Schizosaccharomyces pombe: one gene and its partner. Changing the gene in region 2 together with the main gene of any one other region gives a genetic interaction. Each region holds a gene or a part of one and is shown on either strand. Other genes may lie near its edges.

Region 1 (3,868 bases), 3.2 Mb from region 2:
GTAAAGTAGAACTAATTAACTACATACATCTTCGACTTGAAAAAATCACCATCTTATTATAGCTTTTATACATCTGGTACTCGTCACTGGCCTATAACCAGTTGGCCAATTCTATAACCTACAGTGTTCCGACTAGTTACGAGTTTTCTATTATGAGCTTAAATCTACTAGTCAATCAGGAAGAATTAAAGAGATATCTGGATGAATATGGTGGTAAGAGTTTTTCAATTGATGCATTTTTGCAAGTCATTCTTTTATTCACAGTTTCATAGTATGGTCCAAAATATTTCGCGCGCTGTTTGTCGCCCGTAATTCTAAGCCGTTAAGAAGTTTTTGTGTTCATTATGCCATTAAAGAATTGAAAGAAAAGACATATAATCTAGAGTTGTACCAGTCTCTATTCGAGGAGTTTCAAGATTGCTTCGAAAACGAGCAGCTGGACGTAGAATGGGTTGAAAGCGTTACTTTTCATAGGAAACAAAATCTAGAACAATTAAGAAGGGAACTAAAAGCCTATAAAAACAACTTAATACGAGAATCTATAAGAGTATGAGCTACAAGATAACTTTTTGCTTCACAGACTTTTTATTACATCCTTTGTTACAATTCTAACAACTTTAGGCGGCACAACTAGATTTAGCTTCTTTTTTTGCTGATGTGGGCCAGTTTGATAGTGCTTTAAGATCATATGCCAAAGTTCGCGAATATTGTACAAATGCTGGACAAATTGCTCATTTATCCTTAGAGTTAATGAGAATTTCTATTTGGATTGGTAATTATTCTCATGTACTAGCCTTCGGGTCTCGCGCCAAGTCTACTGTTAGTGCAGCCATGGAGCTAACTAGTCCTATTTATGCATACTGTGGATTGGCCAACTTTTGCTTGGGTGATTACGAAGAGGCCCTGGCTCATTTTTTAAAAGTTGAAACTGATACCTCTGATGGTATTATTACAAAAACTGACATTTCAGTGTATATCTCACTTTGTGCACTAGCGTGCTGGGATCATAAACGTCTGATTCAAGAGCTTGAAAGAAATGAAGAGTTCAATGCTTTGTCAGATTTAGACCCTTCCCTGAGACGTTGTTTGCAAGCGAAATGTAATCGCAAATATAGTCTTTTGCTTGATACATTACAGCAAAATGCTCAAGACTATTCTTTAGACATGTATCTGGCTCCTCAATTGACAAATTTATTTTCCCTTATTCGGGAGCGTTCACTTCTTGACTATTTAATTCCTTACAGTGCTTTGCCGTTCAGCAAAATTGCAGTTGATTTTCATATTGATGAGAACTTCATTGAGAAAAATTTATTAGAAATAATCGAAGCCAAAAAATTAAATGGCAAGGTGGACTCTCTTCAAAAGGTAAGTATAATAAATCTGCTATATTGGTCTAACTTTATAAGCGTGTTTATATCGAACCTTCTTCAGAGCCTGAAAACTTCGAGGACATAAAAAATATCGCGCAAACTAGTTTGCTTTACAGCAAGGCTCTTTACTTACAAACATTGGCGGCGATGAACACTGAAAATACTGACGACGAAGCTCCAGTTATCGCTCAAACGAACATTACCGCGGAAGATTCACAGAACTAACAAAAAGCATGCACATCATATAATTGGTTAATCCTTTACTTACTTTTTTTGAAATTTCATTAATTATTTAGCTTATGAAGATTTAGTTGCAGCTGTTGTAGCTGTTGCCTTTTGTTGCATAATGTTTTGAACGGCTACAGAGAATTAGCAAATTGTTGATAATAAGATAAAAATTGATCTGTACTGTAAATGCTCATACCTCTAATTTGAACTGATTTTGCGTCAATGGCATTGTTGAGGTTCTCGATACTGCTGGCGAGATATTCACATTTTCTTTTATAATATTCGGTAGCTTCTCCAGCGGACTAATGTCGTTAGGTTTAAAAATCTCTTATATATTAAAAATACCTTTTCAACGTAATAACCAGTCCCAATATCGACCAACAATTTACTGTTTCCTAAATTCAGCTTTCCAGGAACATACAAGCTTGAAGTCAAAGGTACCAAAACCTCCTTTCCTATTGACAATAGTTAGTGAAACATATGCAAAAAAAATTTCAGTTTGTCTATACCATCGTTCTCAGCCCGCACAGCATCGTTAACGTTTGCCAGGCATTCACGAAATTTCAATTGAGCACGTCCTAGTTGTCCATAGGAGGTCGATAGATACTCTAGCTCAGAATCTAACTGTTTTATAACTTCTGATAATTGCTCCAAGCTGAGAGAAGTCAAATCGACCGCTTTATTACCTTCAGCCATTATTACGCTTCTATTAGAACAGTCAAGATACGAAGGAACTGGTAGAAATTCCAACGCTGCACTGCATTAAATTACAGGTACATGGTAATCCATTTCAATATACAATCAGTTAGTTGGTTGAAACAATATTTGTTTTAAACAGTTATTCAGAATTATACCAAACAGTGAAAGTAGAATCGAATATGTTATTGAGCAGAGGGACGCTATAGAATATATCAATATAGATGATAGATTTTTCAATAATTAATAAATTATGAGCATGAAGATTAACAAAATTTGGGAAAATAATACTAGTTAGGATGCATTATAGTGCCATTGATTAGAAGTTTAAGTATAGCTTTTTAAGCATCATTTTTTTTGTATGGATCAAATTGAAGCAAATCTTTATCGTTTTCTACAACATCACCAACATCATCTTCGGTATCTGAAGAATTTGAAGGTGTTTTTTCAGTCGCCGTAGTTTCCGATGTGGTAATTTCAGAAGTAGTATTTTGATTGCTAGTACCATTTGCGGTACTTGGACGAGAAGCGGGTTTATGCCCACGAAATGTTTTACCAATCCTATTGGTATCAATTACCAAAGAATCCAATAAACCTCTCAAACCTCCGGTGGTTGATGATTTTTCTTGGACTGGAGCTAAAACGATAGAGTCGGCGAGTCCTCCAGAAAATAATTGCTCTAATAAACCAATTGATAAAACAACCATTCTAAAAGTGGGAAGACTAACTTTGATATCACTATTAGCACCAACAGAACGGTTTTCAGAACCAGTACTGCTCATATGGTCGCTTATATCAATCAACGTATCAGAATGACCATCAGGACTAGCTTCATCAGCAAAATGAAAGCAGCGTTGTATGAATTCGCTAACTGCGGATAGATACTCATCACCCATAAACCTAGTTAACCAAAGAATAGCTTCTGAAACCTTCAAAACGTCTGGTTTATCCATAAAACCATCTCCATTAAAGTCATAAAGCTCGAATATAAAAGATATATTGCGCATTACATCCCTAAATTTCAATTCTGCAATACCGGACACCAAATCCTGTAAAGATAATGATCCAGTCATGCTTTTGTCAAATCGTAAAAACAAATGACGAAGAAAGGATGATGAATTATTGATAGCCGCTGCATCCAAACCTTTCGCCCATTCAGTAACTCCTGCTAAAAATATACAAAATTCGTCAAATTCCAACCGTGTATCAGTAGAGCTGCCTAATCCAACTCGATGTTTGGACGACAATACTTCATGATAACGGTCGTAAATATTACTTAAATCCGTACGTGTTAATGTACCGTAATTTTGTAAACTCCTAATTTGTGTTCTCTTTGCAAATGACTCAATAGAATTCATAACTCCTTCGTAATGTTTTTTCCTTTCATCTTCAATTAAAGAGTGTGTTATATGGCTAAACTTCTTGAAAGCAGTTACCAATAAAAGTTGAAACTTCGTGATAGAGGCAACGCGTTTATCTGTTGCATCTTTATAAGCCTTATCTCCCAATGATGAAAAATAATTTTTTAAAATTGATATCAACATAGTGTCTTCTGTAGCCTTCATAATTTCAGC
Region 2 (5,237 bases):
CTATTTTAAAAAGATGGATGAAAATAAAGGAAGACCTGTTCCTGAAGCACGACTTCCCTCCATGATGATCGGTTGCATTGTCTTTCCCATTGGCATCTTTTGGCTTGCTTGGACTGGTAATTATCCATGGATTCATTGGATTGTTCCAACTTTGGCAGGTAGTTTTATTGGCTTTGGAATCATTACAATTTTTCAACAAACAATCAATTATATCATTGATTGTTATAGTGGATGTTCTGCTTCTGCAATCGCGGCCAATACATTACTTAGAAGTTCGTTTGGCGCGGCATTTCCTCTTTTTACAACCCAAATGTTCAATAATTTGGGAATTGGTTGGGCTGGTTCTCTGGTCGGATTTGTTGCAGTTGGGCTTATTCCAGTTCCTTTTATGTTGTTTTTATATGGGCCGAAATTACGACAAATGAGCAAGCACTGTCTAAAGGATTAATTCGTCATAGAAGTCCGCTTTTTAGTTGATTTGCTTGACCCTCTCTTTTCCAGTTTTTGTTTTTCTTATTTCTGTTATATTCATCTTTTTTATTCAGAAACCATGCCCGCGGTTTGTTGCCTTGGGTTAATGGCCTCAGCATTTACTTGTTGTTATTGTTATTTTCGTTAATTTAACCAGTTTGCTGCCGTTTAGATATTTAGAAACGATGGACTTTGTTTTAAATGATCTCTATTACCCGCTGCCTCTTTCTTTTGTCTTTTTGTGACTTCTTTAATAATTCATCATCCTCAATGATTACTTTTGTTGATCTCCGTTTCCTTTATGTTTCTGATCATCACAAAAAAAGTACCTTTCAAATAGACATTTATATTTATTGGTTGGTTATGAACCTTACATATGATTTCCGTTTACCATAATACATTGCTAAGACCTCAACAAAAATAACTGTTAGCACAGGCCATACTTGTCAATTTATTATATCCCGTTTTTATCAATGTAATTGAATGTTTTCGAGTCCAGGTCTTGCCCGTAGAATCACGGTTAGTGTGAGTAGGTAGTAGATCTCGGGCCGTAGGTGTGAATGCCGTAAAGCTAGAACATTATCTGAGAATTTTCATTTTAAGAACGCCGTATGTTGAGAGAGAAAACAGATCTTAAATATCCCTCTTTTCAACGACTCAAGAATTGTTTACATTTTTTCTAGCTATCCTGTCGAGATCTAAGAGCTGAATGGGATACAGTTATAATGGATAACGATATAAATTTGGAAGACCTTAACACATCTTATGGAATTCTAACGGCTGGGCTACTTCGGTAAAAGTAGTTAGTAAGGGATAGCGATGGGATGAAAGCGCAGGGGGTTCATATTCTATCAACTGCTGATATTTTTAGTGATGCCTTAGTCATTGGTATTCATATATACGGATTTTTAAGTAGTATTATTAAAATATTTATGGTACAGTAACGGAGTGTAAAGGTGGCTTCTCCTACTGGCGTAAAATAATTAGTAAACCATTTTCCCATTTTTTGTTATTTACTATATCGAAACGCTCTTCCTAATGCGCAAAGTTTCCTCGGTAGTGTGCTAAGACTCCACGGTGTTTCCCCGTGTTGATTTTCGCACTAAAAATACTACTCCATACCGTATTTATAACCAGAACAAACAACAACAACAACGAAGGAATTGGTGTATTCACATATCTCAGATATTTTAATTTAAGAGCTGGAGGGACATATCAGTAGTTTCTTCATACGGGGCAGCCAGCCATTTTGAAATGGGAAGTGACGGGTCGAGTTTGTCACCGAAAGTGTCACAACCGGGACACACTGAAATAGTTGACCATGTCAGTGAAAAGGTGATCACGAATGGAAAAAATGTTAATAAAAAGGTCAATGCTGAAGTAGACGGAAAAAGCATGGTGGAAAAGGTAAAAACGCACGAAGAAAATGCAGAGGACTATCACTATGGTGGATACCACCCAGTCTACATTGGTGAAGAATTTCATCACCGTCGATATGTCGTTGAAAGAAAATTAGGCTGGGGACATTTTTCAACGGTTTGGCTTGCATATGATCGAGCTGCCAAACGGAGAGTAGCTTTGAAGGTGGTGCGTTCAGCAGAGCACTATCGAGAGACCTCAATTGATGAAATTCGCATTTTGCAGAAAATTAGAGAAGGGGACGAAAAGCATTTGGGCAAAAAGCATATCATTTCTTTGCTCGATTATTTTGTGCATCGTGGTCCTAATGGAGCTCATGTCTGTATGGTATTCGAAGTTCTCGGTGAGAATCTTTTAAGTTTGATACAGTCATACGGCCATCGAGGAGTACCTGTGGGTATTGTAAAGCAAATTGCCTACCAATTACTCATCGCTCTGGATTACTTGCATCGAGAATGCGGGATCATTCATACTGATCTTAAACCCGAAAATGTTTTAATATGCATTGATCAGGATGCCTTGCAACATATTGAGGCACCTGCAACAACTTCCTCCCCCACTTCTAATACCTCTTCTTCAAAAACAAGAAATAACACTGGTTATACAGCCAAAGCTCCAATTATTAAACGTGGCCAATCTGTAGATAACTCTGCCCAAGAACGCAAGACATTTGCAAAAAATCCAACTAAGAATTCTAAGCCTGCTGGCCAGGTCATTCCTAGCAGTCCTTTTACTTCCACTTTGAGCCGCTTTCCTTCATTAGAAGGTGCTGTTTCAGAAATCAGCCTTCGTGACTCTCAAAAGCATAATTCTCATCCTAATTCTCCGTTTTCTAGTGGAGATAATTCTCTTATACTTGATGGTGTTAACGGTTCTCAGGAACCCGTTCCAAAAATCACTGTTAAAATTGCCGATCTCGGTAACGCGTGCTGGACACGGAAGCATTTCACCAACGATGTGCAAACCCGTCAGTATAGGTCTCCAGAAGTAATTCTAGGATGTCGCTGGGGAGCTTCCGCTGATTGCTGGAGTTTTGCCTGTATCATTTTTGAATTGCTAACCGGCGATTACCTTTTCGATCCACGGAATGGGAATTCTTATTCTAAGGAGGATGACCACATTGCCCAAATTATTGAGTTATTGGTTAATTATCCTAAGCAAATGGCACTTTCAGGAAAGCACTCCCGCGATTTATTTAACCGTCGCGGTGAACTCCGAAATATTCATAAATTGAAGTTTTGGCCTTTAAAAGATGTTTTGGAGCAAAAATACCATTTTTCAGCCGAGTTGGCTCAACAAATATCAGACTTTTTATCTCCTATGTTATGTTTTGATCCTGCCAAGCGAACCAATGCTGGTTACATGAGCAATTCTCCATGGTTGCGCGAAGTGGCTGATCCTACGTTCAAAATCGAGACTACTGGAGCAACCGGTGAAGATGTACCCGGATGGGCTACTGAAATTCGTTAGTGTTTACCTTGATATTGGTTTTGAAGCGCTAGTAAATGATTTTTTTTTATATATAGTTTTTTTTTGCGATATCGTCCCTTTTTTAATTTCCCACCATTAGCGTGATTGCTTTAAAAAAGCATGACACCTTTCACTCTGAAATGGGTTACGTATGATTATCACGATTCCTTCTTTTGATCAACATTTACTGCACTGAAATTTGAACGAAATTTCCTTTTACTTAATGAATATTTAAGATATAGCAGGGTTTAGGTCAGCTGCTTTTTAAATCATATTATGTTTAGAAAACGCATAAAATAAAGTTTTGTCATTCAAAAGGAAGTTAATTGGAAATTGGTAACTTGTAATGTCACATATTAATATACTGTTCAGAATGCTGTCGAAAGAAGGAACAAACCGATGGTAAGATAACTCATTAAGGAACCATTAGATTAAACCGTACCTTTATTTCTCCTTTCTTCCAGCATTCGTTTTTCAAATTCGGTATTAAAATACTTTCTATCGCAGTCTAAAATAAATCTGGCACAACTTTCTTTGGATTCTTGAAGTCTCTTATTTGACTCACGGTATTCATCTGCTAAAGAAGAAGAATGAGGGTCAATTTGGGGTGGTTTTTGAGGACGGCCAGAGTTTTTTTGGGCTCGTTGGAAGTCAACACATAATCCAAGTAATTTTTCCGTTGTATACATATTACCAATGCAAGTGTGAGGCTGATAATGCATATATAGATCGAGTATATCCGCAATCACTGCTTCCGTTAGTGCTGGTGGAGCGAAGAACGATCTGGGAATTATAGGTTGAGGAAGTTGCTGTAACTTGCAAGCAATAGAAATCGATGCGACGGCAACAATATGGGCTGGATATTTTAACATTGTGTATGTTTTATAAGCATCAGTGCAGACATTCCAAGCTATACTTGCCGTGGAAGATGAAACTGAAAGTAAATTAGTTAACTCGAAAATTATAAGGTAAAATGAATAGCAGTCATACATTTCAGTGATTTTGCAAATTTTACCATGTAATTGTGTGGATGTCGGACTCGAAAATCGAAACAAATCAATTCCAGTGTCATTCTTTCTAAACCTAGAATCCTCTTCTTGTTCTCTTCGATTAGCTAATACACCTGTAAGCAAGTCTCCTTATAAACAAAAAACAATTATTGCGCACCTTGTAACATACTTGTGAATGAGCATCGACCTCAGAACCTGGATGCTTTTGAAGATAATGTGCTAAAAGAATATCACGAAACTTTTTGGCCGTATCTTCGATTTTACTAGCAACTACTAAGCAAGCAGTAGCGCACTCCTAAATGTGTTAGTTATTTTTGAAAGAAAAAGAGCCTAAATCAAGAGAATATGATGTTTATAACTTGGAGTAGCTGAGCTAACATTATTAAAAACTGTAGTCTTTTTTAATAGTATGACCAATGTACAGCATTCAGAATATTCTTATATCAGAATACGTAAAATTTCAAATAGCACAGCATACTCATGTGCGAAAGACATCCAAATAACATACCAGCAAAGGAATTTCATTCACGGGAAAAAATAGTTGGAAACGACTGTATAAAAGCATTGCAAGGCCGCTGGTCCTTACAGGGCTAAAAAAAAGTTAGATTCTAGATAATTTTGAGGAAAAGCATACAATTTTAAAGTTTTTGAAAGTGTTGATATCCAAGCGAACGCCTGCATTCGCAAATTATTTTCTTTGGGATCTCGCGTCGACAAAATTCGACTTATTTCTTTTTCTGAATAGTATGGGTGTGACATTCGTATTGAAAGTACATGATTCTCATTTTCTGCCATTTTAGCAGCTAAAATGGTGCTGGGTTTGTGAAGGCCTGGCTTTACCTGCAAGGTGCAAGTATGCTGAAGTTA

Evidence for each region.
Region 1: mutations in dsk1 (region 2) and pfd5 together harm fitness more than expected from each alone (negative genetic interaction), as found in Schizosaccharomyces pombe (2 studies listed by BioGRID).

The regions. Positions count from the first base shown.
Region 1 is NC_003423.3:4,025,844-4,029,711, reverse strand, and holds pfd5 (prefoldin subunit 5), read right to left. Parts: upstream 2,307-3,868; 5' UTR 2,295-2,306; coding exon 2,108-2,294; exon of another isoform or gene 2,054-2,107; coding exon 1,944-2,053; exon of another isoform or gene 1,901-1,943; coding exon 1,795-1,900; exon of another isoform or gene 1,730-1,794; coding exon 1,668-1,729; 3' UTR 1,596-1,667; coding exon of another isoform or gene 1,407-1,595; 3' UTR 1,366-1,406; coding exon of another isoform or gene 622-1,365; 3' UTR 569-621; downstream 1-568. Other genes in the region: COP9/signalosome complex subunit Csn1, read left to right, coding at 153-213, 273-547, 622-1,365, 1,407-1,595; SPOM_SPBC215.01 (GTPase-activating protein), read right to left, coding at 2,636-3,868. UniProt on the Schizosaccharomyces pombe protein: Binds specifically to cytosolic chaperonin (c-CPN) and transfers target proteins to it. Binds to nascent polypeptide chain and promotes folding in an environment in which there are many competing pathways for nonnative proteins.
Region 2 is NC_003423.3:824,302-829,538, reverse strand, and holds dsk1 (SR protein-specific kinase Dsk1), read left to right. Parts: upstream 1-1,606; 5' UTR 1,607-1,725; coding exon 1,726-3,360; 3' UTR 3,361-3,791; coding exon of another isoform or gene 3,792-4,294; 3' UTR 4,295-4,350; coding exon of another isoform or gene 4,351-4,474; 3' UTR 4,475-4,539; coding exon of another isoform or gene 4,540-4,665; 3' UTR 4,666-4,734; downstream 4,735-5,237. Other genes in the region: SPOM_SPBC530.15C (spermidine family transporter), read left to right, coding at 1-448; lsc1 (Lsk1 associated cyclin), read right to left, coding at 3,792-4,294, 4,351-4,474, 4,540-4,665, 4,879-4,960, 5,005-5,165. UniProt on the Schizosaccharomyces pombe protein: May play an important role in mitotic control by altering cellular location, degree of phosphorylation and kinase activity. Abundant expression accelerates the exit when cells are in M-phase and also delays the entry into mitosis when cells are in G2.